Linked DNA regions of Notamacropus eugenii. The protein of the gene in region 2 binds, or shares a complex with, the protein of the main gene of each other region. Links are inferred from orthologs where the notes say so. Each region holds a gene or a part of one and is shown on either strand. Other genes may lie near its edges. The genes, in order: ATRIP, RPA1, HELB and ETAA1.

The links.
Region 1: the proteins of RPA1 (region 2) and ATRIP are in contact, whole or in part, in a crystal structure (PDB 7XV4), measured with the Homo sapiens proteins. The link is inferred for Notamacropus eugenii from reciprocal best matches to the Homo sapiens genes RPA1 and ATRIP. Residues at the interface, in NP_002936.1 of Homo sapiens: Ile33, Thr34, Arg41, Arg43, Ser54, Met57, Thr86, Leu87, Lys88, Asp89, Arg91, Val93; in NP_569055.1 of Homo sapiens: Gly53, Asp54, Phe55, Thr56, Asp58, Asp59, Leu60, Glu62, Leu63, Asp64.
Region 3: the proteins of RPA1 (region 2) and HELB are in contact, whole or in part, in a crystal structure (PDB 7XV1), measured with the Homo sapiens proteins. The link is inferred for Notamacropus eugenii from reciprocal best matches to the Homo sapiens genes RPA1 and HELB. Residues at the interface, in NP_002936.1 of Homo sapiens: Asn29, Ile30, Arg31, Ile33, Arg41, Arg43, Leu44, Leu45, Ser54, Ser55, Met57, Ala59, Thr60, Gln61, Arg81, Ile83, Asn85, Leu87, Arg91, Val93, Ile95, Met97, Glu120; in NP_001357214.1 of Homo sapiens: Glu496, Glu499, Val500, Lys502, Ala503, Cys504, Asp506, Phe507, Glu508, Asp510, Asn512, Ala513, Glu516, Trp517, Thr519.
Region 4: the proteins of RPA1 (region 2) and ETAA1 are in contact, whole or in part, in a crystal structure (PDB 8JZV), measured with the Homo sapiens proteins. The link is inferred for Notamacropus eugenii from reciprocal best matches to the Homo sapiens genes RPA1 and ETAA1. Residues at the interface, in NP_002936.1 of Homo sapiens: Arg31, Ile33, Thr34, Pro39, Arg41, Arg43, Ser54, Ser55, Met57, Asn85, Leu87, Arg91, Arg92, Val93, Ile95; in NP_061875.2 of Homo sapiens: Thr599, Trp600, Glu601, Ala602, Asp606, Asp607, Leu609, Leu610, Tyr611, Ala613, Cys614, Asp615.

What each region holds. Positions count from the first base shown.
Region 1 is NC_092872.1:14,535,848-14,542,938, reverse strand, and holds the start of ATRIP (ATR-interacting protein), read left to right. Parts: upstream 1-4,077; 5' UTR 4,078-4,158; exon of another isoform or gene 4,159-4,213; intron 4,214-4,398; 5' UTR 4,399-4,436; coding exon 4,437-4,809; intron 4,810-5,633; coding exon 5,634-5,770; intron 5,771-7,091. UniProt on the Homo sapiens protein: Required for checkpoint signaling after DNA damage. Required for ATR expression, possibly by stabilizing the protein.
Region 2 is NC_092873.1:39,858,866-39,866,242, reverse strand, and holds the start of RPA1 (replication protein A 70 kDa DNA-binding subunit), read right to left. Parts: upstream 3,011-7,377; 5' UTR 2,828-3,010; coding exon 2,795-2,827; intron 1-2,794. UniProt on the Homo sapiens protein: As part of the heterotrimeric replication protein A complex (RPA/RP-A), binds and stabilizes single-stranded DNA intermediates that form during DNA replication or upon DNA stress.
Region 3 is NC_092874.1:243,294,562-243,301,780, forward strand, and holds the start of HELB (DNA helicase B), read left to right. Parts: upstream 1-4,215; 5' UTR 4,216-4,453; coding exon 4,454-4,631; intron 4,632-5,350; exon of another isoform or gene 5,351-5,837; intron 5,838-7,219.
Region 4 is NC_092872.1:636,297,165-636,305,048, reverse strand, and holds the start of ETAA1 (ewing's tumor-associated antigen 1), read left to right. Parts: upstream 1-4,878; 5' UTR 4,879-5,117; coding exon 5,118-5,322; intron 5,323-5,578; exon of another isoform or gene 5,579-5,707; intron 5,708-6,493; coding exon 6,494-6,631; intron 6,632-6,900; coding exon 6,901-6,977; intron 6,978-7,821; exon of another isoform or gene 7,822-7,859; intron 7,860-7,884. UniProt on the Homo sapiens protein: Replication stress response protein that accumulates at DNA damage sites and promotes replication fork progression and integrity.

The DNA.
Region 1 (7,091 bases), on a different chromosome or scaffold from region 2:
CTAGATATTAGGCCTGGAGTTGAGCAACCTGGGTTCAAATATCATCTAACATTTACTAACTAACTGTGTGGCTCTGAATAAGTCATTTAACTTCTGTGAACCTGTTTCCTCATTTGTGTGGGGAGGATAATACTTGCCTTCCACTTTTCATAAGATTACTATGAGGAAAGCATTTTGTAAACTATAAGGTGACACATAAATGTAAGCTATTAGATTTCTTTTGTTCAGGGAGATAAATAGAAGTGATCACATTTCAAAAAGATTCTCTGGGCCAAAAAATCCCAATAACTACAGCCTTTCTGCCTAAAACCTATTATTCACAATTTGAAATAATTTTTCAGACCTCTTATTTTCTCTATTTTTCTTTTTAAGTATATCAACTAAAACTTAATGTATGCCAGTATGTAAGACATAGTCATTGTAAAACATTACAAATTTCTAAAAAATTTTAACTTAACATTAAGCTTGCAGAAGTAAAAGAACACTTTTTGAGCTGCCTGCTATGTACCTCATACTGATGATACAGAAGTGAAACAGTCCCAGCCTTAGAGCTTATGAACAAACTACCAGCATGCTACAGTGTTTACAGAGAAGTACAGAATACGAATAAAATAAATACACAGAAAGACTTCTTAAAGGAGAGGGCACTGGAACGAAACCTTGAAGGAACTGGAAGTTTCAAGAAGTGGAATTGGGGAATGAGATCATCTCAGTATGGCAAAAGCCAGGAGGCAGAATGTCCTAAAGAGGAAGTGGGCCAATTTATTAGTAGTGATGAGTCCAGAGGGATAATCATCAGCCTGGAAAGAAATGCTGAAGCCACTTAATGAAGAACTTCAAATGCCCAACAGAGAAGTTTGTCATTTATCCCCAAAATAATGGGGAGCTGCTGAATTCTTGTGCAGAGGAGTAACACGGTCAGAGAGATGAATTTGGCAACAGTGGGGAACCTGCCACCTTGGCAGAGTTCTGTGAAGTTAGGATTCAGCCACTTGGGGACTTAGAGGGCCACATGTGACCTCATGGGTTTCTCACCCACAGGTTTCCCACCCCTGGGTAGCATATGGAGGAGATTTGGGAGAGGCTAGGTACAGAGAGACCAATTAGGCTATAACAATAATCCAGGGGAAAGGTGTTGAAGGGTTTGTAGCTCGGGTGGAGAGAAGGGAGTAGATGTGAGAGCTGTTAAACTTCCTACTTAGTGAGTGGGTCATGTAGGGTGGAATTGCAAATCTAGCTAAAATCAAGATAAATCATCTGGGCTTAGTGGTCCTGAGATGAACCCCTCAGCATTCTTCCCTGTCTAGAGTAATATTTCCTTCTCTTACAGCCAGTGGTGGCATTAAGAAATCTGGCAAAAAGTAGACGTTCCTGTGTAGATAAAATGGTGATTCCTGTTGCTTTGTGACATCTGCATTTCCTACTTCAACATCTGTTGCCGCCTGCAGTCAAGATTAAGTGTCATTTTAATGAGTCTTGTACATTGTAATAAACTTTTTTTAAAAATCATAGTGATGACTCACGTTGTCTTTATTTTTTTTTCCATGTCAGCTCTTCCTAATTCAGCTAGGATGACCTGACCCAGTCTAGAAACTGTCCTCTGCCATAATCTACTTGATATGCCTCTGGGTTAAACAGCAGTGTACACAAAAAATTAAACAAGATGGTTGAATGTACTCTTTTTCTTTGGCGTTATGTTCATTAATCGACAGCCTGTAGATCAGGCCTGCACAACCTGCCGCCACTTACGGCACACAAAATGTACAGGATGTTTTCCTTTACATTTTTCTTGTGCCACCTGAAATCCTTTGGTGTGCTGCAAGCAGCCGGTGGGCCACAGGTTGTGCAAGCTTGCTCTAGATCCTGAAGAGAGGAAACCAGGGAAGAGAGAAACTCTGGGAAGAAGGCATAGCTGAAGTTTTAATCCATTTTGTCCTGAGGTCATTTCAGTGTTTTAAACTGAACTCAGTTCTAGAAATCTTGGCCTTGGTGGTCATTTTATCAATAAAAGTCCCCACCCACCTAGCCCACAGTGGATGTAATAACTACCCAGGAACCCTAAGGGTCTTCCCCTCCCAGTTTGATTTTTTTTTTTTATTAAAGGGACCATCCCTTGAGTAACTACTTAAAGAAGCCTATCCATTGAATGGGTGTATCACTCAAAGTGAGAATGTAATAAGATCTCAGCCTGAAAGGGCCAGGGTCTCACATGGCATACTGGGCCATCTCCAGTCCTCCTGATGAATATCTGGCCACTGGACCCAGATGGCTCAGGAGAAGAAAGCAAGGTTGGTGACCTTGCACAGCCCTCCCTCACTCAAATCAAAGTCAAGTGCAAGTCATGTCATCATTTCACTAATGTCATGATCCTTTTCGAGAATGAAAGGCAAACCAACAACATTTATAAAGGAGCCTACTCTAAAGAGCCTGGCACTCTGCTGAGCACTAGGAATACAAAGGAAGGCAAAAAGCCAGCACTGCTTTCAAGGAGCTCAGTCTAATGGGAGAGACAATATGCAAATAACTGTACAAACAAGATACTGTACAATGTACTGTGCTATGTACAAACGATAAATTGGGCATAGTTTCAGAGGGAGGACTGGGGAAAACATGCACAACATGGAACTTTATCTGAGACTGCAAGGAAGCCAGGAAATAGAGATGAGGAGGGAAAGAGTTCCAGTTGTAGGGAGAGGGCAAGTGAAAATGCTCCAGAATCAGAAGATGGGAGTGTTGAGTTAAAGGAACCTCTAGGAGGCCAGTGTCATTGGAATGTAAAAAGAATGGAAAGGTACCACAGTCTTTAAGGTACAGGGAGCTGCTGGAGTTTGCAGCAAGGGATCTTGTCATTTTTTGGTGTCATGGACCCCTTTGACAGTCTGGTGAAACTGATACAACCTTTCTCAATAAAGATTTTAAATGCATAAAATACTAAGCATTTATTAAGTGCTTAATATGGGTCAGGCTTCCAGCTAGGTGAAAACTAGTTCTTGTCATTCTGATGGGGAGAATATGCAAAGAACCACATGCATTCCAGATAAACATAGGGTAGTACATGGGCAGTCATCTCTGGGAGGAAGATATTGGGGGATGGGGAAGAGACCTGGAAAAATCTTACAAAAGATGGGAATTAAAGTTTTAAGGTCACAGACCGTGTCTTCTTTCTCGTGACTAAGGATGTAAATGTTTTGCATGACTGCCCATCAAATTGCTTACTGTTTCAGGGAGGGCTACGGAAAAGAGGGGAGAATAACAATGTTTTTATGTGTTGGGGGAATTTTTCAGAAACATAAAAGTTCACAGATGTAGAGTTAAATCTGGGCATGCTGTTTTGTAGTATTTGTCATTTATCCCAACCAGACGGTGTTCCACCTAGGCAAGGGGGGCACCCCAGGCAGACATCCACTGTTACTTGGGGGCAGGGACCTCGGGGCGCCTCCCTCCCCGCGGCTCACTTTGGGGTCTCCCGGGGCCATGGAAGCTTATGTAAATAGATGACGGTCACTGCTGGAGCAGCGGGGCGCGCCCCGGAGCTCTGCCCCCCGGCCCACCCAGCCCCGGGAAGACGTCAAGCTCTCCCGGGGCCCTCGGTGCTACATTCGTCCCCTGGAGCGAATGAATGAATGGAGTTACGGAGCTAGGGCCGGCACGCGGGGCACAGCGCGGGGGCCTCCCTCGGGCCGCCCCGCCGGAGTCGGCGGCGGAGGGGACGAAGCTGCAGCCGGACGAAGGGTTCGGTCCCGGGGGAGATGACGTTCCCGGGAGCACGGCCAGCCCCGCCCGGGTCTCTGGAAAGGGCAGCCTCGGCACCGGCTCCCGAGGGCCCTGCGGGCCTCTGCGCCGCCCGCCCCTCCCCCGACCGCTTGTTTCCCACAATCCTTCGCCGCCGCAGCTGCCAAACTTCCCTCCCCTGGGGATCTCAGGCCAGCCCCGCCGCGGGACCCAGCTTCCCAACATCCTTACGTCATCATCGCGCGCTCAGGACACGGCCGCCGGCGATGCTGTGGCGTCATCGGGGGGCGCCCGCCTACAGATCCCCGAGACTGCCGGGAGCTGCACCTCGCCCCCAGAGCCCGGGGCCTGATTGGTCGATGGGGCCGAGAGGCGGGTCGTGTGCCGTGATTGACAGGGGATGGTAGCGGCGGCGGCAGAACTGAGGTGAGTGGCCGACTCGAGTCCGGGAGCGGTCTCGTGTCTCGGGATGCGCAGAGAGGTAGGGGAGGCGTGCCGGGAGGAGGGATGAGGGCGCTGGCGGGACGGGGAGGGGGCCGGTGCGGGAGGGGTGTCGGGGGAGGCCGGCGGGAGCGCGGGTGGGGGAGGGACGGAGCAGGCATGGGGGCAGGGAGGAGGGCAGGAGCGCTGTCGCCACTCGCACCCTCCCACCACTTTCCCCCCCAGGAACCTTGGGGGTGCCGAGCCTTTTGTCCACAAGAGCCATGGCGGGGAACTCCGGGCAGCGCTTCCTGGGGGGCAGGAAGCGCACCCCCTCGCAGTCGCACCTCGGCCGGGACGCCAGGGCCGACCCCCCGCGGGGCTCCCCGCCCCAGAAGCGCTCGCGGAGCTGGGACGTGTCCGACTTCCAGGACGCGGAAGACTCCTTTGGCTACCACGAAGAGTTCACCGCGGACGATCTGGAGCAGATCGACATCATCGCCTCCCAAGCTTTGACTCAAGGGGTGGACTGCGCAGCCCTGCTGAACGCCGGTTCTGCCGCCAGGCTCGCCTCCCCCTCGGCCGCCGGAAGCTCGAGTCCGAGCGCGGGGCGTTCGCAGCCCCCCCGAAATGACGGCGCGGCCGGACCCCCCCTCGGTACGTGCGCGGCTGTGGACCTTGGGCATGCAGTCGGTAGCGCTAACGATAGCTCCCTTGCGGAGCGGGGTCCCTTTCCAAGGTGCCGTGCGCTCGCTGGGTCCCTTGGTCCTTACGCAGCCCGCTAGGTAGGTACTACAGGTATTGTTCCCGTTTTACAGGTGGAGGAGCCTAAGTCCAGAGTGTTTAAGTGACTTGCCAATGGTAACACAGCTAGTAAGTATATCAGAAGCAGGGTCTCTGACTGCTAGTCCCCTCTACCTCGCTCTCTTTCCGGGACTAGACATGCTTCAGTGATACCGGTATCCCATGGGCAGGCTGACAGGATTCATCTTAAAGCAGAGTCCGGAAAAGAGGAGCACCATAAGTTTGACTCTGGAATAAAATTACGCATGTTTCTACAGGTTTACTCACCTTCCTGACCCCTCTCATCTCACGCAGGCACTTTGCAAGTTGGGAATAGGTTGTATTGCAAAAGCTTGTATTTCCAGTCATCCACGGCTTGCCTCTAAACGTTGTCTCAGGTACTAGGGAAGTGGTTAGGTGCGCAGGCCATCTCACCAAAGCCTAATACTGATGGCACCATAAAATCAAACCACCATCTGGTTTTATTGGAAGTGGAGTTTTAAGGGCACTGACTCCTTGAGACACCAAAGCGCCATCTCTGTCAGGAGAATGGATGTAGGGTAGAGGAACGTAGGGGATCATTTGTAAACTGAGTATCTCCTTAAGCTGGGGGTGCCCTGCAGGTTATTCATAGTGACAAATGATTCTTTTCACCCTATCTAGATTCAGATTTAATATAAGTCAATTCTTACTGGCAGGAATCCCTAAGTTTCCTGAGCAAGACGGACTGTCCAGAAGTAAAAATCCGTCAGAGAAAAGCAGAGAAAAGATTCCAGCGGTTGATGTTTCTGAATTAGAAAAGCTTAAAACACAACATGAAAAACTAAAGGAAAAGGTAAGTGACACGGACCGTTCTTAGCTCTTAGTGTTTCAGATTTGAGCACTCACTCCCCTCCCCCAACCCTACTCCATAAAACCTAGTGGCTTCTTTTGCCTCTAGGATCAAACCTGTGCAGTCCTCCATTTAACGTGTAAAGCTCTCCTCAACCTGGCCCCTCCTTATCCTTTTAGTCTTCACATTCTTCTGACTCCAGCCATACTGGGCTGCTCACTGTTCCCTCCCCCTTCCTTTGCGTTGACTCTCTCCCATAACTGGAATGTATTTTCTGCTTCCTATCTCCCATAGGACTAGAACGAATTCTCTGCTCACTTGCATACCTTAAAATCCTTGGCTTTCTTTAAGACTTACTTCAAGTGCTACCTTCTACAGGAGACTTCCTGGTCCTCTTTGCTGCTAGTACATCCTTTCTAAATGTGCCTTGTATCTACTTTGTATATATTTTGTGTATACCTATATATGGACATGCTGTCTTCTCAGTAGAATGTAAATTCCTTGAGGAACCATTTTTGCTATTTCTTTGTATCCCTTGTGTTTAACATAGCACCCAGCACATAATAAACACAGAAATACTTGTTGTATTATTTCCTGTCCTGTTACTGTGAAGCCAGTTTAGTAATAATAGTAGCTCACCTATGTATTATGGTCTTAAGATTTACAAAATTCTTTCTTCACAAAGACCCTATAAATTAGGTAATGGAAAGATCCTTAATCCCATTTTACAGATGAGAGAACTGGAGCTCTGAAAGATAAAATAACTTGCTTGAGAGCATATAGTAGACCCTGAGTCTTTTAGCTTCAGTTCCAGTACTCTTTTCCACCATGTTGCCTTTCTTTGGTTTGACTCATGGCTCATCTGTAAAGCCAGTTCAGAACCATGTCTTGATTAAGAGATAAACTAGACAGCACACTCTTTCTCTACCGTCTTAACCATCAACTCCAACCTTTTGTGTCCGTCTTCTGACTTAGATAAGCTGAGCTCTCTGAGTGACTTCAAAGCTTTTCATTTCAACAGGATTTTCACAATCGATGATACCCTAAGCATTGCATCAATATTTAGTCTGTGCTGTTGGTCAGTCATGTCCAACTCTTCATGATCTCATAAAGTTTTCTTGGCAAAGATACAGGAGTGGTTTGCCATTTCCTTCTCCAGTAGATTAAGATAAACAAAAGTTAAGTGACTTGCCAAGGGTCATGCAGCTAGTGAATGTCTGAGACTAGATTTGAACTCAGGTCTTCCTGACTCCAAGCCCAGCACTCTGTCCACTGAGCCATCTAGCTGCTTGCTTAGTTTGTGCTGGCATATATGTTTCATTGC
Region 2 (7,377 bases):
ACCTCCTGGGCTTACAATGCATTAAGTTGAGGTATCTGCACAAAACCCAGCAAACAGGGAGCTTCAGGAGTGAGGAGCCACCAGGTTGTCTCAGAAGGAGCAAATCAGCCCAAGTCAGAAATGGAGCAGGTCAAAGCTCTCATGCTGATCAGAATGGGATCAGGCCCATAAGTGGCTCTTGTCCTTCCAGCCTAAACAAGATAGAGCCCTAGTCTTTTTTTTTTTTTTAACTTTTCTTCAAACTTGGAAAAAAAGAAAAGCAAAAACAGACACTGGCATGGATTTGAGGGGGAAAACAAACTCTCTTTGGGACATACAGAATTTTAGATGCCAATTCAATATCCAGCTAAGGTACACCACCAGGCAACTGGTGATATGGAAATGGAGACCAAGAGAAAAACTGGGGCTAGAAATATAAATCTGGGAATCATAGGGCAAAGAGAATTAAACTCTTGCAAGTTGATGAGGTCACAAAAGACATAACCCAATTTGAGGAAATCCAGGAACCAGAGGGACAAAAGTATGATGGAGAACAGGCATTTGAAGATTAACGGGGATAGAAATAGACTACAGTTACATAGAAAGACAGAGCAGACTATAGCTATTTACAGTGATAAACATAAGGAAATCACAAGCCTGGCTCTGAGGCATAATATGGTTATGATGAGGAACTCCAATTATCTTTGCCCAAAACAAAGCAACTAGAAATTACTTAACCTACCTTAATAACTTCTTCCTTCAAAAAAAGCAAAGGAATCAATGAAGAAAACTTGTTTCCGGAATGTAAATGACCATTCTAGCTTAGAATTTGTGATAGACAAGAAGCTAAATGGTCTAGTGTGTCATATCCCCTTGAATTGTGGGAGAGCAAATTTCAAAGCTTTCAGGAAAAGAATAGGATGCCTAGACATAACTCTACAAAGACCCCTTCCAGCTCTTTACCTCTGATCCATGAAAATCACCATGGTTAGTGAAGAGCCAGAAAAAGAAGTGATGGTGAAAAACCACAATGGCTTCCTCAAGAACACGTGCTGCCAACTAATGGTAAGTCCTTTTTTTTTTTTGCCTTCTTTTTCCTAAAACATTTGATGAAGTCTGTTAAGCTCTTCTTGCAGAAGAGATGTGGATGACAGATTCTCTTAAGGTGGGGTGAACTGGAAATAGGTTGAATGAGTGAGCCCAAAGACTAGTCATTAATGGCTCAATGTCAAGTACTCCATGAAGTGTCCCAGAGAACCCTGTGAACGTGCTTATCAATCACAAGAAAAGGCACAGAAGGACATGCTCATCAAATCTACAGATGACATAGAGCTGGGAGGGAATGGATAAACATTCTACTGAATCAAATAAGATGCAATTTAATAGGGATGAATGACGTCTTACCGTTGAGTTTTAAAAGATCAACTTGACAAGTACAAGATGGGGGAAAGAAGCACCAACAGGCACCAGGTCATGTGAAAAAAGTTAAATTGAATTGACTGTAAGCTTGATATGCATCAACAGTGTGGTATGAGCTTTTAAAAAAAGATGACACACCATCTTAGACTGCATCAAGAGAAACACAATACTCAACACAGAACTCTGCCTAGTTCAGACTATATCTGGCTAATAAAGAGTCTTGGAGTCACATTTTAGATAGGATCTTAATGAATTTGAGAGTATTCATCCAGAGGAAAACAACTAGAATAGTGAACTCAGTCAACAAGCATTTATTTTTTTAAATTTATTTATTTTGAGTTTACAACATTCAGCTTTTCAACTTTAAACTTTGTCCCCCTCCCTCAACCTTCCCCAAGACAGCATGCAATCTGATATATGCTCAACAAGCATTTATTAAAGGTTTAATATGTGGCAAGGCGTTATGCTAAGTGCTGAAGATAAAAAAACAAAACAAAAACGGCCCCAGACCAGAAGGAGCTTCCCTTGTAAAGGCGGAGTCAACAGGTAAATAGCTAGGTAGGTAACAAGATAAATACAGAGGAGGGTGGGGGGGAGAGAAGGGATAAGTACCTGCCTCGCACCCACAGCCTGACGAAGGTTATCCGACATTATCTGAGGGGGGGACGCTAAGCAGGTGGGTGGGCCAGAAAGGCCAGCATAAGTGGAAATTTGAGTCTTTAATAAAAGAATCCAGGAAAACTACGAGATGAAAATGGGCAGGCAGGGCATGTCGGGGGCACAAGGGGGGGGCTGCGTTTGAGGAAAGCCAAGTGGGCCCCAGTGTGGGAATGGGAAGGGGGGCCGAGTGGGGAAGTCAAGCCTGAGGCAGGAAAAGTAGGAAGGGGCCGGACTAGAAAGAACTTTAAACGCTAAACAAAGGAGTTTGCTTGATAAAAGGGATTACGCGGGGGTCGGGCTTAGCCTTCCGCGGAAGCCTCCCGAACCCCAAGACCGAGGCCAGGGCGGGGTGCTCGGCCTTAGACACCCCCCGGGGGCATGCCCGGGCTTGGCCCCCGGGGCAGCTCGACGTCTCCTCGGGGGTGCGGGGCTCCCCCTTCCCGGGGGGCTCCCACAAACCACTGGCTGGGAGGCTCTGGGGGGGTCACCAGATTCTGCGCCCCCCCCACACACGGCCCCACACTTCCGAGGGCCCTCCGGACATCCCCGACCCTCGGGGTCTTCACCACATCCGGGGAGCCCCGCTTCCCCACAGCACAGGCCTCCTCTTCTAGAGTCACCCCAGGAGCGCGCGGGATCCCCCCAACGCCGACTCCACCCCCCTCCCGTGGCCTGCGCCTCCTCGGGGTCCCGCCACCGCAGCCGCCGGCTCCGCGCCCCCCTCACCTCCCCTCACCTCAATGGCCCCCTCGCTCAGGCGCCAGCTCATGGCTGTCCGCTGCGTGGCCGCCCGGGATCCGGTAGCTCGCTCCCAAGGTTCCCGGGTGTGTGTTCGAGCGGCGTCCGCCGAGTCAGCGGGAATCCGGGATGGTGGGGGGGGGGGGGGAAGGGGTCCTCTCCCGCGCGCTCAAATCTGATTGGCCCGGCCCCGGCCCTGGCGCGCGCCGCTCTCGCGCTCCGGAAGCGGGCGGTGTAGGGGGCGGGCTCAGAGAGTCGAACGGGCAGCCCATTGGCCGAGGCTCCCCGAGCGCGGGGAGGATGTGAAGCCCCGCCCACCGGCGTCCGGCCGGATTTCTGAGCGTCCGGGGGGCGGGAGCGCAGGCTGGCGTGTGACTCCAGCCGAACGAGCCAGGCCCACGCCGGGGAGCAGCCACGCGCGACTGGGAGGCCAGCCGGGAGGTCTGCGCTGCCCTGCCCGCGACTTGTCCAGGTGAGCCTCTGGCTGTAAAGGGGAAGGGAGGAAGCATTTATTGAGCGCCTACTACATGCCTGCTGGGGGCTGCGCGCTTTACAGCACGATCTCACTGGGTCCTCACAACAACCCCGGGAGGGAGGTGTTGTTAGGATCCCCGCTTTACCGACGGGGAAACTGAGGCAGGCGGCGGTTCAGCGACTTGCCCCGGGTCACCCAGCCAGGAAACGTGAGAGGCCGGACCCCGGGCCCAGAGCCCGCGGTGGGGTGAAGACACCTCTCTGCACTTTTTTCTGTTTTGGGGGAGAATCCATCCCACGGGTGTGATGCGCCCCGACCCGAGGGCCCCTATTAACATCCTTAGCCTCTGGTCCTAGAATTCAGCGGCAGCCTAAGGAAGGGGGGGATCACAAGCGGTCAGTCCGCAAGTATCTGTGAAGTTAAGAGCTACGTGCTGGAAACAGGCAGTAAACGTTTATTAAGCACCTACTGTGTGCCAGGATACAAAGAGAGGCCAAAGAGCAGTCCCTGCACTCAAGGAACTTAAGAGAGCCTGCGAACAACCTTGTTCGAAGGTACTGGATAAATAGAAAATAATTAAAAGAGGGGAGGGGCTGGTCTGGGCTTTTGTTGGGGACTTGAAGGAAGCCAGGGAGATCAGTAGTCACAGCAGAGGAGGGAGAGCATTCCAGGCATGGGGGAGGGCAGAGACAATTCGGGACATGGAGTATCTTGTTTGTGCATCAGCTGGGAGGCCAAGGTCCCCAAATCAAAGAGTATGTATTGGGGAATAAGGTGTAAGAAGACTGGAAAGGTGGGTAAGGACAAGGTAGGAAGGATTCTGAATGCCACAGTGTTTTGTATTTGTTCCTGGACGTCTCAGGAAGCCAGTGAGTAGGGGGGGGTGACATGGCCAGACATGGCCTGTGTTTTAGGAAAATCACTTTGAGGGCCATGTGTGTGTTTGTCCATCAGAGAAATGATGACATGACTTGCACTTGACTTTGTTTTGAGTGAGGGAGGGCTGTGCAGGTCACCAGCCTCACTTCTCCTCCAGAGCCATCTGAATCCAGTGACCAGATATTCATCAGGATGACTGGAGATGACCCAGGATGAGGCCACTGGGGTTAAGTGACTTGCCCAAGGTCACACAGCTAATGAGTGTCAAGTGTCTGAGGTGACATTTGAACTCAGGCCTTCCTGATTTCTGCACTGGTGTTCTATCCACTGTACCACCTAGCTGCCCTAAGGAAGATCACTTTAGTGTCTGAATGGAGGGTGGATGGAGTAGGGAGAAACTTGAGGCAGGGAAACCCAGGAGCAGTGACAGAAAGTCCCTGGCCTCGGGAGCTTACATTTTATGGCGTGTGCAATTATTGCTTATATAAGTACATGCAAAGTAAAGCAAAATTGTTTGGAGAGAGATGTCATCTAGGTGGAGGCCCTTTGGCTGAACCTTGAAGGAATCTAGGGATCAGAAGAGGTAGAGATGAGGGAATGATGGCAGGTATGGGGGGGACAACCTGTGAAAGGTGGCAGAATTAGGGAAGGGTAGTCCTCTGAAAAGAGATGCCAGAGCCACATTCCTTTGAGGGTAGAGTGATTGTGGTCTTAGGGATTTCAGCCATCCTTGGGCCCAACATCAGCAGTTTAGGAGAAGAGCTAATATTAGAACCAAGCAATTGGAAGAAAGCAAAGATTTACATTAGGGATTTTTCAGTTGTTCAAGGATTACGCTTTCATTGATGTGGTTTTTCTCCTCCACTTCTGGAGATTGCAGCCCCTTAGTGACTTAACTGAGTAGATAAGTCTGTGAGAATTGCTACAGCTGAAAAATTCAACATGCCTTTGCCATCCTGGTGATGAACCTCTCGAAACATAACTCACTGAGCCTCAATTTGGGAGCTCCAAAGGGCCCCAATGACCACCTAGTTGGACCTATTACATGAAAGGAGTCCCCTCATCAACCAGGGAGCTTCCCCTTTGGTGGGTCCTGGCCTCCTTGGGCAGCAGTCTATCTGGTGAGGCCTATGGAGCCCTTCTAAGAATTCTGGCTTTAAATGTATAAGATCAAGCACATGGGATTACAAAGAAAACCACTTGCACTGAAGTGCAGCTATCCAAAAATTTTTAAAATGTATTCACAGACGCTGAGTTAAGAAGCTTGACTCTACAGCTTACCTGATGGGCGGCAATACAGCCTTTGATTGAAGTCATCCTTTGAGAGGGAACCTGAAGGCAGCCCAGTCTCTGGGCTCTGACTGCTGGGAAATTTTTCCATACTCTGAGCCCAAGTTAGCCTTTTGCTATCTATGTCTACCCCTTGTACCTGGTTCCCCCAAGGCTCACCCTCAACACAAAGTCCTTCCCAGTCCCCAGTAATGCTAGTGCTTGCCCTCTGTTGATTGTCTCCAATTTATCCCATCTATATCTTGTTTGTACAGTTATTTACATTAGATTGTGAATCTCCACAGGGCAGGGACTGGCTTTTTTTTGCCTACCTTTGTATCCCTAACACTTAGCATAGTGCCTGGCCAATAGCACGCACTTAATACAGCTAGGTTCTGATTCATGTGAATAATGAATCTTGTGAAACAGTCGTATGTATTCACATTGACCCTGTTTGGAGTAAGGATTGTGTTAGCTATGGTCATTGTTCCCACCCAGTAGAAATGTGCAGTACAGATGTGAATAATGGGACCACTTCACCAGGTTCCCTATCCAGATTAATCTGGACCAACTTGAGTATATTAGTTGGCTGAATAAAACACTCCCTTCTCACCATGACCTTAAAATCCAATGGAGAGACAAGTACATCTAAAGAGATATATGGTACAAATAAAAATAAATAAATATATGTGTGTAAAAATTAAATACAAGGTAGTTTAGGAGAGAGGGTACTAGCATTTCAGGGAACCAAAACACTTCAAATAGGAAGCAGTGCCTGAGCTCTGTCTTAAAGGAGGATACGGCTTGTAGGAGGCAGAGATAAGGAGGGAACATTCAGGGTTGGGGTGATTTTTTTTTTTTCCTGGGAGCTTCACCCTCCATGAACAGTTTCCCCAGAGACTAGGCCATACAAGAATCAAAGGAACTGGGGCTGCTCAGCCTGGAATAGAGAGCACTCCAGAGGGATGTGCTGGCTGCCTTCAAACATCTGTTAAGGGCAGTCATGTGGAAGACTAGAATGGGGATGCTTGTCCCTAGAAGGCAGAATTAAGCAGTATAAGTTGCAGAGATACAGATTTAGAGTTAATAAAAGGAAAAACAGCTAAGTTGGTGCAGTGGCTAGAGCACTGGGCCTGAAATCACAAAGACCTAAGCTCAAATCAGGCCTCAAACACTGTCTGTGTGACCCTGGGCAAGTCACTTCCCCTTATTTGCCTCAGTTTCCTCATCTGTAAAATGAGCTGGAGAAGGAAATGATAAACCAAGAAAACCCCAAATGGAGTCACGAAGAGTCAGACACGACAGAACAGGCAACGAGAGCTAGGCCAAAGTGGGGTTGGATGCCCACTGGCTATCCTGAGTAGGGGAGTCCGGCTCAGTGGCATTCGGCCCTTTTCCATTCTGAGATTTTGTGATTCTGTGGACTGCAGGGGCAGGTTGTGACATGTTATTCCCCTCCTCAAGCTCTTCATTTCTGCCAAACTCTATTTGTGATTGCCTTTGACCTGACATCCTTTCACTGTCCTCCTTGCCATACTTGTTAGAATGCCCAGTTTCCTTCCTGCTAACTCCCCCAGCTGCTAGTACCCCCTCCTGCCTCTAAGCACTTTATGTGCTCTTCTTTATGAAGCTGCCTGTACTTTGTAATCCCCTCTCCTTAAAGACTTTAAGCTCTCTGAGGGCAGATTGTTTTGCTTTTGTCTTTGGATCCCCAGTCAATAAGCATTCATTAAGCACCTACTATGTGCCACGTAGTAGGTACTTGCTGAATGAATGATGAGCTGTTGGACTAGCCAAGCAGCAGCCAGAAACCTCAGCAGTTGTACCAGTTAGCTGTGCTCTAGGAATTCATTCCCTCTTCTATCTTCCTTGGAAAGAGGGGGATGTAAGTGACAGAAGGGCAGGAAGCCTGCCCTGAGGCACCCACTGTGGTGTCCCGTCACAGTGTGGTTGCAGCT
Region 3 (7,219 bases), on a different chromosome or scaffold from region 2:
CCAGGTGCCTGATATAAGAAATACATGTGTCACAATCAAGACAGATAACTGTCTGACCATACATACAGTTACCAGAGACAGAACAACTAACACCTGGGTTCTCAAAGCTGGGGTACTCCTTAGTGGCTGCCCAGAATCTCCTCTGGCCAAACAAACACTTGCAATCAGTCAGCCCCAAAGTAAAACCTCACCTCAGAGTATTTATATTTCAGAGCCAGAGGGCATCACAACAATAGAGAACCAGTGCCTCATTAACAAAAGCTGTGGGCCCTCCTACAAATCTTCCCAGGCCCATTAATGGGAAGGGAAGATCTTCTTTAATCACATTATTCAATAAGAGGCACTTGATTATACTAAAATAAAGAATGCATTATCACTACAAGTAGTGATATTGGAAGTTTGAGGTTAGAAAAACCTTGAAATAGCTTCTGTGAGGAATTTAACAATATATAAGAAGTGAATAAAAGAATTATTGAGTCAGTTGATGTTAAATTGCATGGTTTTACAATTGTCCTACTGGCATATTTTCAGTACTTCCTTTTAATACCATATTGGGCAGCCTGGGAAGAGAAAAAAGCAAATATTAAGGGAAACTCATGGTGGAGAGTGACAGCCATGGTGGAGGAAAAAGGACCCAGAGATGCTAGGTTCTAAGGAAGCCATAGCTAAAATAGACGATGCCATGCAGCAAAAGTTAGAAGAGCAAGTAAAGCCAGAATAGGTACTAATGAAATGAAAATAGAGGGACAAAGTGTTTATAATAAAAGCAAAGAATAAATTTAGTAGGTTTGAAGTCATGGCAAAGATTTTAGTTGAGAGAGGGGCAGGTCTGGGTTTCAGATGTTGGTTGTGGGTGATAAAAGAATCCTGAGATTCATCTCATTGTGCTGCTTTATACCTCATATATAGTTCTAGTTATGACACAAATATGTGAGTATATTTACATAAAAATTAAAAAGCAACAACTTTGGAATCTTCTTCAATAAAGAGGACATTTTGTTTAATTGATTTAGACAAATTAGCTCAATTATCCATACTAATGAAAGTGAGTGCTTTTTTGTAATGGAAAAAAGTACTGCACTGGGTTTGGATCAGTTGGCTTACCGCATGTAAGTCAGGAGGAAAGAGCTAAAGAAAAGATTTAGGTAGAAAGTATTTCACATTTTATATTTAAAGCATCCACATAGATGTAGAGAAAATGCTTTCACTGGGTGGGAAGGTTGGATTTTTTGATCTCTAAGAATATATGATTTTATTAGAGGTTTTATTGATCAAAATGGGACCAATAAGGGAGCTAAATGTGGCCCATTTTGTCTATATTACAATTGGTTTGGGGAAGTTTGTTTTTAATACTAGCTAGCAAAAAGGTGTCTTGAGTGATGCTTTGGACAGTCAGACCTTACTCTAATGCCATGTTCTTTCTAAGCAATCTTCTTATAGTAATTTTCCTAATAATTTTTCTTAGGGGAGGAGAATGTCCATTTAAAAATAGAGTAGCTTTTTTTTTTCAGATGAGTTTGCGCAGAATGAAATCATTTTCTCCCAACTCCTAAAAACAGATATAGAGGTTGTGGATTCTTTGGGAGCTGTGAGCTCGGACTGAAGAGGACAGAATGGAAATAGTTGATCTTGAGACACTCACTCATCCATCTATCTCAATATTTCTGCAGGGCAGGAAATTGAAGGGTAAGAATGATATAGATTAAAATAAAATGACATTTAGAATTGGAATCTCTAGGGTTAAAACATGCAACTGTGACAATAAAGTTCATTTTCATTTTTCTCTATGAGATTGTATGTAGCTTTTTAAGTAAAGCCATCTTTAACCAGATGATCCACAGTAACTTGAACCAGTAAAAGCTAGCTCAGAGGGATGTAAGCCTATCTATGTGTAATCTTACTGGGCATATAATAATCAAAGGGAGAGTAAAATATTTTAGCTGTCTGTGTGAAAAATGTCATGGCAATTATTTTTTTGGTCACTTGGATGGTTTAGGGGTGGTCACCAGCATTCAAAGTGCTTTGTGAGTACCTAAGGGGTGTAGGTAAATCTCCTTTACATGATATTGGGGGAACTTCCCTGAGAAAAAAGTTTGCAAGAAATAATGCTTTGGGTTAAATTTGTCCAAGATGAAGGGTTAAGTGGGGGAGGGGCAGGATATGACATGGCATAGATGCTGGAGGTTTGGGATGAAAATTGTTGGGGGTGTTAGTTACAAATTTGTCCATAATTATTCAATTATCTGGAAAGCATATATGAAAAATATATGCTCTGGAAATTATCCATAATGAGAGTAGGAAGTCAGCCATTTGGGACAAAATCCATATGAGTTAAATAACCAATTGATAAGGGGAATTTGGGAGCATTTACAAGGCAATATGTTTGTCAAGCAATTTGCTTAGCTAAAAATGCCCAGGTATAGCAAGTTCCTAAGACCATAGGTTATAATTTTTTATGGAATGGGATAATATATTTACATTGTATCTCATCAGATTAGCAGTCTTTGAATGCTAGTAACAATTGTGTTAACTGTTCATAAATGTGAAAAATATGATTGTGTCAGTGTTGTGGCTTTATAATTGAAGAGAGAACTGTAAGCTGTAAGGGACTCACTCCTTGTAGGAGAGAATAAAGCATTATCTTCACTCTCAACATCCTAGGGTAGGACTGATTGGGCAGGGTCCCTTAGACAGCAGTAGTTTTTCGAGTGACAAAACTTTTGCTATAGAAGGGCCATTTACTCTAAGGTTTGGAGTGAAACTGTGTGAGCCCTAGGTGGGGTAGTTTTCAAGGTAATTCAGGGCAAAATTTCAGGAGGTGAGAATTCAAATTAGAAACATCCAGGCTGTGATTTAATAATTAAAAAATGATTGTTTATTAGCAGGATGAGGTATCCTTTGACTCTTAGAGGGGAAAGAATTGCAGCTACCTTGGGGGTGATGAACCTTTAAAGAATATGAAGAAAGACACCATCTGCATTCAGGATGTTTTTCAGGAAAAGGAGATACCAAAGTTTTTTGGTGCTCCTTTCTCAGATCTGGATAGATTTTGAAAATGTCCAAGTCCAAAAGATGTACCATAAACTCTATAGTGGGATGTTCCCTGAGAAGAAAGAGGGCTTTCTAATAGTGCTTAACATCATTAAAAAATAATTTAAAGACAATTCTTTGTATTTTTGAAGCTTCAGAGGCAAAGACTTGTTTTAGGAAATGTATTTTTTCATAGGTTAACTCCATGGGGTACATATTCCTGAGGCAAATCATTCCACTGCTGGCCCACAGAGAGCTCAGACTGGCCCCCCAGTAAGTTATGGTGGCTCTGGCAAGGGATCACTACCATCTTTATTCTAGCTAGTTTGATCTTGCAGTTTGGTTCCCCTGGAGAACTACCTCTTGCTCAATGTACTGAGTTTGCAGGTCTAAAACTGCAGTTCACAGGCTCCCTACTTATGTGTTTGGATGGAGAGGTGTTGCTATCTTGTGTAGTCATCCATAGCAAACAAAATGGTTTTCACCATCCTTTGCTGTGAGTGGCAAATATCAAGATATATAGTGACTTAATTTGTAGGTCCCTGACTTGTGGTCAGTCCGGAAACCGGGACAGGAATTGGACCCGGTTAATTTCCCTGAGAAGGGGAACTCTTTCCAATGTGGGATTGCAACTTCTCCGCATTTTATTGTTTTAGAGAATAGTCTGGGGGCACTGAAAGATTAAGTGATTTGCCAAGGTCACACCAGCAGTGCGTGATGGTGGACAGCCTTGAATTTGGCTTCGGTGTCCTGAGCCTGGCTTTTTATCACTACATTACCCTGTCCAAAAGAAACTGAAATGGGTTACTAAAGATGATGAAAATCTTAGGAAATAACTGCCAAAGATGATGAAAATCTTAGGCAATGAATTTCCAAAGATTATGAAAATCTTAGGCAATGAATTGAAGACCAGGATAGAGAATGTTTTTCTCCTTGTTACAGTCTAACCTTGATTTACCCACTTGAAATGAAACCGTAACGTCTCCACCGTTACAGTAGCCAGCCGAGGGTAGGGATTGTTTCATTTGTATCCCCAACCAAGGGTAGCCCCGCCCCACGGCTCCCTAGTTGGGGCGGAGCCTCTTGCCTACACCCTCCCCCCTCCCTTTCCCGCTTTCTCTAGATTACTCCGATCTGGGCGGAGTCTGAAGGTTGAGGAATCACTTCTGAGTGACGGGAAGCATGGACCACGTGATTTCAGAGAACCTACAAACACCGCGTCTGGAGACTCTCACAGAGCGGGGGGTGGAATGCCTTCCTTTCCGGGAGAAGAGGGCGGGGCCAAGACGCGCTCTCTGATGGGCCGGGAGTTTCGGCGCCCTCGCTGATTGGTTGGGCGGCTCAGCGTCTCGGAGCGCCACTGTTTTGGTTCGGAAGTCGCGGGCGTGGGTAGCCGTCTGGTTTCGATTCGGCTCTCCCGACGATGGGGACGCTTCGGGTAATACGGGGCCTTCTGTTGCCGGACAAAAACGCGCAGGAGGAGGACGAAGGCGAGGAGCCTGTCGTGGAGGAGGACGAGGAGGACGAGCCGCTCTTCGTGGACGCCGAGGAGCTGTGTAACGGAGGGTTGAGGGCGGGCAGCCTCCCCTCGCGCAGCTGGGGTAAAGCAGTCGGGAAAGAGCCGAGGACCTGGCCTTGAAAGGCGGGGGGCGGCCGGGGATAGAGCCGGAGCTCCCATTCTGGGCCCTAGCTGTGGCCTGTGCCCCTCAACCCTTCTGGGCCTCAGTTTCCTCATCTGTAAAACCAGGAGGGCTCGAATGGATGGTCTGAGGGACCCCTCCAGCCCCAGGGCGATGACCCCGTGACGTATGTCCTCGAACCTCCCTTCTCCCCTCCGAGATGGGCGGGTGGGCTCGATAAAACCCCATCCAGCCAAGAATCTTACCCCCTGTGCTCATGAGTCCTCTCATTTTGTGTGAGATACGTATAAACATTGCTATTGAAAGGGGAAGCACTTATTATGCTTTTGCTGTATGCACTTAAAATATAAAGGCGTTTGCCTTTATGTATTTTAAATCATTTAATTTATAATTAAATATTTATAAGTTATTATTTGTACATATTACATAAATGTTATAATATGATAATATGTAATATATGTTAAATAGTATACATTATATAATGTGTAGTATAATGTAATATAGTATATAATATAAAGTAATGTAATATACAATATGTAATAATGTAACGTAATATATATTATACAACATATAATAATATAACGTGATATAGTATATTATATAATAATGTAATGTAGTATAATATCATATAGTATAGTATGCGTGTCATATAAATTATAATTTATTTATAAATTAAGAAATAAAAATAATAAAACAAATAAATTAATTAAATACTTTTATATTTATAAAATATAATGCAAAAGGAGAGCTGGGAAAGGGGGTTTGGGGGAGGATGCTCAGAAGCAACAAAAGAGATAATAGATAAAGAGAAACTTCATTTACCAGGGTCTGGAGATCCAAGGGTCTAGTCCAAGTTGGGGGATTTTGGAATGGGGATGACTGAGCGTAGACTACTTGGTGAGGAGATGGCCAGAAGTACTCCTAGAAAGGACTATGTCATTTGTCTGCCCTATAGATTTTACTCCTGATGATTCTGAAACCTCTCTTTCCCAGGCCACTTTTCCTATAGACTGGATGTCCCAAAGTCTTAGAGCAGTTTAAAGCTTCTTTTGAGACCTTCTATGTGTGTTGCTTCCTTTGGAATATAAACTCCTTGAGGGCTGGGAATGTTTCTTTTTTTTCTCTCCCCAGTGCATACATAATAAGCCAGGTTCCTGGCACTTAATGGTAAGCATTTGGCTAATGCTGTTAATTCTTTCAGCCATCTATCCATTCATAGGTATGTTTGCCTTCCTGATTAGATTGTAAAGGAAGGTGAATTGAAACTTGTTTATTGGTGTCTCGGAGGGAATCCCTGTGGAGTTGGAAAGAACCTTAAAGGTTTCATCTAACCCTCTCATTTGCAGATGAGGAAATGGACCCAAAGAGGGATAAGTAACTTGGTCCTTGCCCAAGGACATTTAGTTCAGTTTGGTGTAGTGAGGGATAAGAATCTAGGTTTGAATCCCAGAACTGTTATTTTGGGCTCTGGCTTTAAGCAAAGCAAAGGACTTTATTCAAGCACTTATTTGTGCAAGCTACGGTGCTAGACCTTGAGGATAGAAAGAAAAAAGAAAATGGTTTCTGCCCTCAAGGAGTTTCGATTCTGTAGCAGAAAACAATGAGTATCCTTAGAAATGGGTCCCTAGGTGGATAGCTAGTGGATGCAGTGCTGGGCCTGGAGTTGGGAAGACCTGAGTTCACACTAGCTTGACCCTGGGTAAGTCATTTAACCCTGTGCCTCAGGTCATCAGTCAGTAAAATGAGCCGGAGAAGGAAATAGCAAACTACTCCAATATTGTTGCCAAGAAAACCCCAGTTGGGGTGTCGAAGAATCTGACTAATGACTCAGAGAAAGAAACCCATAGAAATAATATGCAAATTGAACATGACTTCCTATTTTCTACTAATGTCGGTGAATAGCTACTCAAGTTTCTCGAGCAAAAGAGAAACATGGTTAGACATGATTCTTTTAGATAATCATTTCAGCTGCTGTTGGAAGGGTAGATTCAAGAGTGGAGAAAACTAGTACAAGGAGGCTGATAAAATCATCCCTGCAATGAGGCCCTCGTTTGGTTGTGGTGAGAATAGAAAAAAGATAGCTGGAAGAGTTGTTGAAGTGGTAGCCACCAGATTTGGTGGCGATGGGGACGTGGGCTATATGGAGGTGTGGGAGGGTAGAGAAGCAAGAATGACTCCTACTTTGAGAGGAAGAGTAAGTTAGGCAGAAAAGTGGGTTTGGGCACAGTTGATTAAGCTGACTGATCCTTAGTTTCCTCATTTGTAAAATGAATTCTAGTTAAACATCATGCATTTAAAACTGGAGAGAATATCTAGTTTATGGTCCATTGGAAAGTAATGGAGTTAGGATTTGAGTTTGAATCCTGTCTCTACCTGAATGTCCTTGGGCAAGGACCAAGTTACTTAAACCTCTCGGGGTCCATTTCCTCATCTCTAAAGTAAGAGGATTGGATGAGACCTTTACGGTTCTTTCTAAGTCTAAAACCATGATCCTATAAACAGCATTTTGTATTCTCACGTGTGTATATTCTCATTTTCCTATGAAAAGC
Region 4 (7,884 bases), on a different chromosome or scaffold from region 2:
AGTTGATACTAAACAGAGGACTATAGAAATATGAAAAATAGAAAAATATGTGCTACCTTTTGAATTATTTAGAGAACTGAGAGAGTTATTAAGGATGAACTTCTTGGGTTGTTTTGGGTTTTGGTTTTTTTTTTGTAAACAACTGAAGTTAGTCTTCCATTGCAATGGCAGAAATTAGTACAGTCAGTCACATGCTAGGAGTATTTAGCTAACATCCTGGCAAGTTCATCAGATGGCAGGTGGGTATAAAAGCAGACACTTCACAGAGTTTATTCTTTTAGATTGGCTAGGTGGAGGAGTAGGAGTATGGAATGTTTCACAGGTTGTCAGAGGTAGTTGTTGAGTCAGTTGGTATTGTTTAACTGCTTTTAACTGTTTTTCTTTGCACAGAGAGGGATTCACTGGGCTGGGGAGGAGGAGGGAAAAGGGAAGAAGAGAAGGAAAAGGTACAAAGAGCAAAACTTCAACTACTCCCTTCTCCATCTTCATGGGATATTGTCCTACCCAGTATTCATCATTCTCTTATTTAAGTTATAGTCTGAAGAAAATATGATTTTTATTTGGGGAGAGATGTTATAATATTAGTATTTAGCATAAAGCTAAGATATTGACTTCCATTCATTCATTCATTTACTGTTTGATTGATTGGTTTTGCCTTTTGTCAGAGAAATATCCTCACATTGGAAAAGGCAAGAGAAGAAAACAGTCAAAAGGAAATCAAAGATAAGAGAGGAACTAGGAAAGCACCTACTTACGTTCAATTATTTTCGTTACCCAACTAGAGATTACATCACAGGATTAGGAAAGAATTTATAAAGGCAGTCACTAAACCACTGTATGAAACCTTTGAGAAACTTTGGAGCACAGGAGAAATACCAGAGGCATGTGGACAATTTTCAAAAGGAGGGAACAGGTTGGATTCCGCAAACTGGTGAGTTTGATAACCCTGCCTGGCAACATGCCATAACTGATATTAAATGGATGGATTATGAGCATTTGGAAAGGTAGATGATGATCATTAAGTTTAGAACAAATTATCGCAAAGGTAGAGCCAAACAGAAGTAGCTTGTCCAATGTTACAATTCGAATAAGTGTCAGAGATAAAATTCAAACCTAGATTCTTTGATTTCAATTCCTATATTCTTTCTATTACCTAATACTGTCTCTATGACTGGAAATTATTTTTTGTGAAGGCAACGTGGTATAATGGAAAGACTGCTGAACCTGGGGGGGTTGGGAGAGACCTGTAGTTGAACTCCAGCTCCAACTCTCAGCCTTAGGCAAGTTACTTAAGGATTCAGAATCTAATTTCTTATCTGTAAAATGGCTTTGAGAATACCTGCCCTGCCTATCCCCTGGGGTTGTTGGGTGTAAATTCTGGCTGTTCCTACCACTCCTGCCATTTATGAAGTATCCAGTTCAGTGTGAAGCTATGTTCCCTTAAGATAAAGGGTGTGGCTTATCATCCAAATCCAACATACATTTATTAAGCAACCTCTACATGGAGCTAGGCTCTGTGCTAGGTATTAGGTAAATATGACACCATCCCCATACCCAAGGAGCTTACAGTTATCATTTCATCTACCATCACATCCCTGTCATCTGGCCTGACTACCTTCCTGGTAGGCCCCACCTCCTTAGATCCCACTCTGGGATCTAAAATGTTACTCCCACACTTTCCCCCTTTCCAATCAAAACAAGGCTACCCTTGTTCCTGGAAAGGGCACACACCAAACCAGAAGCTATTGCTCTAATTGTGTTGTTCCCAGCCCTCCTTGCCCCCACCCATTAGAATTGTTTTCATCCTTCATTGCTGAAGACCATGCCATCAGAGAAATGATGACAAGACTTGCACTTGACTTTGTTTTGAGTGAGGGAGGGCTGTGCAGGTCACCAGCCTCACTTCTCCTCCAGAGACATCTGGGTCCAATGACTAGATATTCAATAAGATGACTGGAGATGATCCAGGATGCAGAGGGAGGCCTTGGGGCCTTTAGGCCAAGGTCTTTGCAGGTATTCACTTAGGGTGAGGTAACACCCATTCATTGAATAGGCCTGTTTAAGAAGTAACTAGGGCATTGCCCCTTTAATGAGGCATAGAAAAAGAATCAGTTATTATTGATAATCACTCTAAAGCTAGGAGGGCCCATCCTGGGTCATCTCTAGCCATCCTGATGAATATCTGATCACTGAATTCAGATGGCTCTGGAGGAGAAGTGAGGCTGGTGACCTGAACAGCCCTCCCTCACTCAAAACAAAGGCAAGTGCAACTCATGTCATCATTTCTCTGATGGAATGGCCTTCTTTGGCAACAAAGGTCGTATATAATCCTGTGAGTAGACGCAGTTGGTTGAATGGGATCCCTGCTAGGTGGGTAATTCAGCTTCTCCTCTCCTGTCTGCCTCCCCCTTCTCTTCCTCCCCCTCTTCAAATGAAGGTAAATTTGGATGGCCAAAAGGTGCCCAGTTGGCTTGGGTTTTACTGGCCTCTTTCCTTCCTTTCCCTTTCCTTCCTTTCCTTTCCCCCTAAACTCATTACAATGGAAGCTCTTTCAAAGCAAGCATGGTTTCTCTTTCGTAATTGTATCTCCAGAAGTTAACTGTATCCCATAGGGCCAAGCACTTTTTTCTTTATTATTCATTATGATGACATTTATCAGATCCCTCTCCCTGCTTCAGTACCTAATGAAAGTAATCCTTGTTTAATGTCCAAAACATCATCCTTCCCCATGAAATCTAATCCTTTTTTAACTTCTTTATTTCTTTCTCATGGCAACATCATTGACCCTGATTCCCAATATCCATATTCAATCGGTTGAAAAGTCTTATAAATTCTACTACACAGTATCTCTTCCATCCCTTCACTCACATAGGCACCAGCCTAATTAATGACCTCATTACCTATTGCCTAGTGTTGTTCATTCATTACAATCTGGTCCAACTCTTCATGATCCAATTTGGGGTTTTCTTGCCAAAGTGGTTTGCCATTTCCTTCTCCAACTCATTTTATAGATGAAGAAACTGAAGGAAGTAGGGTTAAGTGAGCTGCCCAGGGTTACCCAGTTAGTAAGTTTCTGAGATCTGATTTGATGAGAACTTGGATCTTCCCAACTTCAGGCCCAGTGCTCTATCCACTTCAACACCTAGATGGATATATAAACCAGCTCCTAAATTTATGTGATCTGTGATCTCAGTGACTGGAGAGTTACTAACAAGGATGTGTATGACAATGAATGAATTCACTCTGAGCATCACTGAGAAAATCAGAAGTCAGAAAATCACTCTAAAAAATGATTTTTCACAGAGTGAAAATGAAAATCATTCTGAAAATGAAATCATTCTGAAAATTTGCCAAAGTTCTGGGGGCACATTTATGTCTATATGAAATCACCAAACCTTCTGTCTATATGAAATCAATGTAGCTCCTGGGGAAGAAACTTCCTTTAGCAATGTAGATTTTCGATTTCCCCAGAAATAATGCCCTTATTTGAGTAGCCTAGAAGCACACAGGGCTGCTGGGTGGCTCTGTGGGCCTAGAGGCAGGAACACAGGAATTCAAATCCTGTCCCAGGTAACAACAACCATGACCCTGGCCAAGTTACTTTACCTTTAGTGCTTCAGTTTCCTTATCTGTAAGCTGAGGATAATAATAATAACACCTATCTCCCAAACTGTTTTGAAGATAAAATATTTCTAAATAATATAATACTTTTAAAGATAACATTTCTAAAGATGTGCTTTGTGAACCTTAAAATCGGATATAAATGGTAGCTTGCACGTTATTTACCTAGGGCTACTCATATAATCAGTATGTAGCAAACAAGAGATATTAAACATTTAGGAATAAAAGTAAACTGTGTATGTCCTTCTGTATGCAGGTGTGCACACACACATGTACGTGTGCGGTACGTTGGCATGTAAGCGGTGCTCAAGAAGGGCTGGCTCCTCTGGTGCCAGGACTTGCCCAACTCTTTTCAAGGCTTTGGTGTCCCCTGGGCGCTCAGTTCTCACCTGTGGCCGCACCCAAGTAAAATTACCTTGGCAGGCAGGTTCAGCCAGGTTGGTTGGAGGGCCTGGCACCACAGGTGAGTTAGGGGGGTGTCTACCCCAAGCACGTGACGACCTCCCCTGAGGGAATGGCCGGATGAGAACAGTTTGCGCGAGGAGGGGCCTAGAGCTTGGTCAGGCGTTGAAGATACCAGGGTCATCCACGTGCCTGGGCCCGCTGCCCTGCCCTTTGTCCGGCCGCCCGGCCCGCCCGGGATGACCCTGGCAGGCAGAGTGGAGCTGAGGACTTTGTCCAGCCCTGCCTCCCTTAAACCCAGTTCCCACACACGCCGAGACCTCCCCGCTGGACATACCGCTACTCTGGTGTGCGTGTAGGGCCCGCACAGTGCGTGTGCAGATGGGCACGCTTCCGCACCAGCGGCTAGATAGCAAACCCACGCGTGTCTGTGGAAGCACAACACCCAGATGCGATTTGCAGCTGTGCAGCCCTCGTCCCGTGACTTAACCTCGCTGTAAACCTTCTCACGGTATAAAAGTAAGTTTAACAACCTCCGCCTGACTCGCGGGAGCATTACACGTGGCATGGGGTGTGCGTTGGGGGTGGGGGTAGTTTGGGGTGAATAACGTGCTTCGCAAACTTTGAAGCTCTTTATAGATGTCAGCTATTCTTGTGCTTGTAAGGGACCGAAGTTAGCCGCGTGAGGCCCTTGGGGGGGGGGGGGGGGGGGGACAGGAGGACACGCCCCACTCGGGGACACCGGGCAGACGGAGGAGTGCAGGACGCGGCTAGAGACAGCGAAGGGGAAAGGGCAACGCTCCTCCTCCGCTCTAACGGCAGGCAGGGAGCTCTCCTCCGCCCCCGGCCCGCGGGGCTGCGTGCGTACGTACGGCGTGACGTAAGGCCCTCATCCCGCCCTCCGGGGAGCGGCAGCCAATCATCAGCTTCCCTTTAAGCCGCCGGTCCGGTCAAGATGGCGAAGGCGCTAGCGAAGGCCCTCGCTTGGTGGTAGTGCCGGTGTTCTCCCCTGCCCCCACCTCCCGGGAAAGATGTGAAGGGAGAAGAAAGAGAAAGAGCACGCAGCGGGAGGGGGAGGCCCCGGCTGGGGGACGATGCTGAGTCGGCGGAGGAAGCTCGGCGGATCTCCCGGCCCCAAAGGGTCGCCGGCCCCGCCGCCTCCGCCGACAACCCCCTTGGCCGGGGATGAGGACAGGCCGCTCGGTGGGCCCGGGCGGCGTCTGCGGGGCCGGAGGCGGGCGCAGAGAGAAGTGGCCCAGGCTTCGGAGAGCTGCGCTCCTGTCAGTAAAAGTGCCGAGGGTGAGGCCTTGGGCGGCCCTGCCGACGAGGGGCCCACGCTGCTGCGGGGAGGCAGGCCGCACGAGCGCCTCCGGGGTTCAGGATGGGGGCGCCCCGCTCGTTCACTCAGAAAACACCCCTTCCCTTCCCGCGGACGAGCCTGAAGCGCGGTGCGGCCCTCGGACGGACGCCCGGCCTGGGGCCCCGCGGCTTCCGGCGGGCTTGTTGGGGGAGGGACGGAAGCCTTGTGGCCCGCCGGGTGCCCCGACCTGCTTACCCCAGACGCCGGCCGCAGCCACGTTGGGATGGGTGGGTCCGGGGGAGGGGAGGGAGCGCCACGTGCCCGCCCCAGCCCGCCCTCCCCCTGGGGCGAGGTGGGAAGACGCCTTCCTTCACAAGCGTAATCACGAGCTGCACGCAGGTGGTTGTCTCTGGAGTCCCAGAGTCTTCCTTGTTCTTTTAAATTTGCCTTCGAACATGCAGCCAATGTTCCAGTTAAGTGTTTTTTACCTATGAACCCCGGTAGTGTACACGTGCTTTTTAATCCTATAAGGGAAGAAGTTTTTTTTAGGACAACTTGTAATATTGAGGTTTTCGTCCTCGAGGTGTAGTGGTTCAGATTCTTAACCCCTTCTCCCGAAACTGAGACATTAGGTTATAAATTCAAAAGTGGGGAAAATTAAATCCATTTAATAGAAGAACCCGCCATACAACCCCTGATAGGAGAGTGTGTGTGATGCTCATATTGTATATGTGTGTGTGGGGGGAATATCTTTTTGATTCTTAATAAGTATTCCAAAATCTTTTTGAACCAGAAACTTATAAAATGGTTCATTGATAATAAATAAGAAACTATTGACTTACACATACACACATATATGTATATATGTGTTACGTATGTGTATGTATGTATGCACACATATATATGTATGTACATATATGCATATGTGTGTATATCTGTCTGACTGCACTCAAATATGTTTCTGGCCAGGGATGCAGAAATATTTAGATTTTCCTGGTGTTTAGTTATACATTGATATATAAAACATCACAACCTTCTTTATTGTTTTGGAAGGAAATTATCACCATATCTACAGAGTAACCCAATCAAAGCTATTTAGTTATTGTATTGCTCATATAAGTAGTCCTTTAAATGTAATGTTTATTTTAATTATATCTTATATTTATACAGAAATGTGCTTGTATAAAACTCCAAAGAGATTGTTGCAATCCAGTTTTCGATCACCTGTCTTCAGTTCCCCATGTAATGATACTGATGGACAGCAAGAAATATTTTGGGATCCAAATTCTCCAACGACCTGTCGATTAGGTAACTTGTAATTGGAAAAAATTTATATAAAACTGATTTTTTATAATATTTGATAGTTGGGCTTGAATGGTAATTATTTGGTAAGTGAGGTCAGAAACTTGTACAGAGCAAATATTTTTATGACAATATTGATCCTTCTCAAAAGCATACTGTGGTATGGACTAGTCATGGACTTAAAGCAAGCTATTTAAATTCCTTTTTCAAAGGGTCATAGTATTAACAACTTAAATGTTCTTTCATAACTTATTGAAATGCTTTTTCGTTTTTAGATGAAAGAAGAAATAAAAAGCTTGACAGGAGATGTAGTGTTGCAATTTCAGATATTGTTAACCGTATTGCTCCTAAGGTAAATACAATTTAATAACTTTATAGTTTGTTACTGAAACACTTATTAACTCAGTATATCTAGTCAAGTCACTTAATGTCTGGGAGCCTCACTTCCCTTATCTGTAAAATGGGTATCATTCTCACATTGTCTTTCCCAAGAGATTGCTGTGAAGAGGGACCTTTGTAAACCATGAAACACTATATAGTTGTTAAGTAGGAAAAGGTTTCCCAATATTATGTTGCCCTTCATACAAATAATTATTTTCTCACCTCTGTATTTAAAATAATGACAAGAAGGATTACTTTGTAGACCTGTGTTCTCAGCTCTACTTGTAAGGGATGTTTTAGGTTTAGGATTCTTGTTCAACTGCCAGTTAGACTAAATGACCTTTATAGTCCCAACTCTGAAATTCTCTGATTGGCTTATGTTAGTTCATATAAACATTGTCAAAATCCCTCTGATTTTTTTTTAACTAATTATCGTGTTTTTCAAGTTCTAGATAGAACAGGAAACTAAATCTAAACAACATCATAAAGTATTTGCCTATATCTACACCAGATCCCTAACCTCCATCTACTCAGAAATGTTGTTCTTAATACTGATTCTTAAAGACCTTAGTTGTGTGTTAGAATCTTTTACCAAATGAAAGTTTTTACAAAAATTGTATTTCCCTCTTCTCCCTTCAGTTCCTGTTACTAGTATGAGTGAAGTTAAAATGCCAAATATCTGTAATGTCAGGAAACAATTAAATCATGTCCTTTATATTCTATTAGATTGTCAAGAAATAGTAACAACTCAGTGGAAGATTCCTTTTGTCTTAAAACTAAGCACTTATATCTGCCTTTTTGCCATTTTTCTGTAGGGTGTCCACACTGAAAGAAGCACGATGTATATTCACTAGTAGGTGATAGCATCTTCATCATAT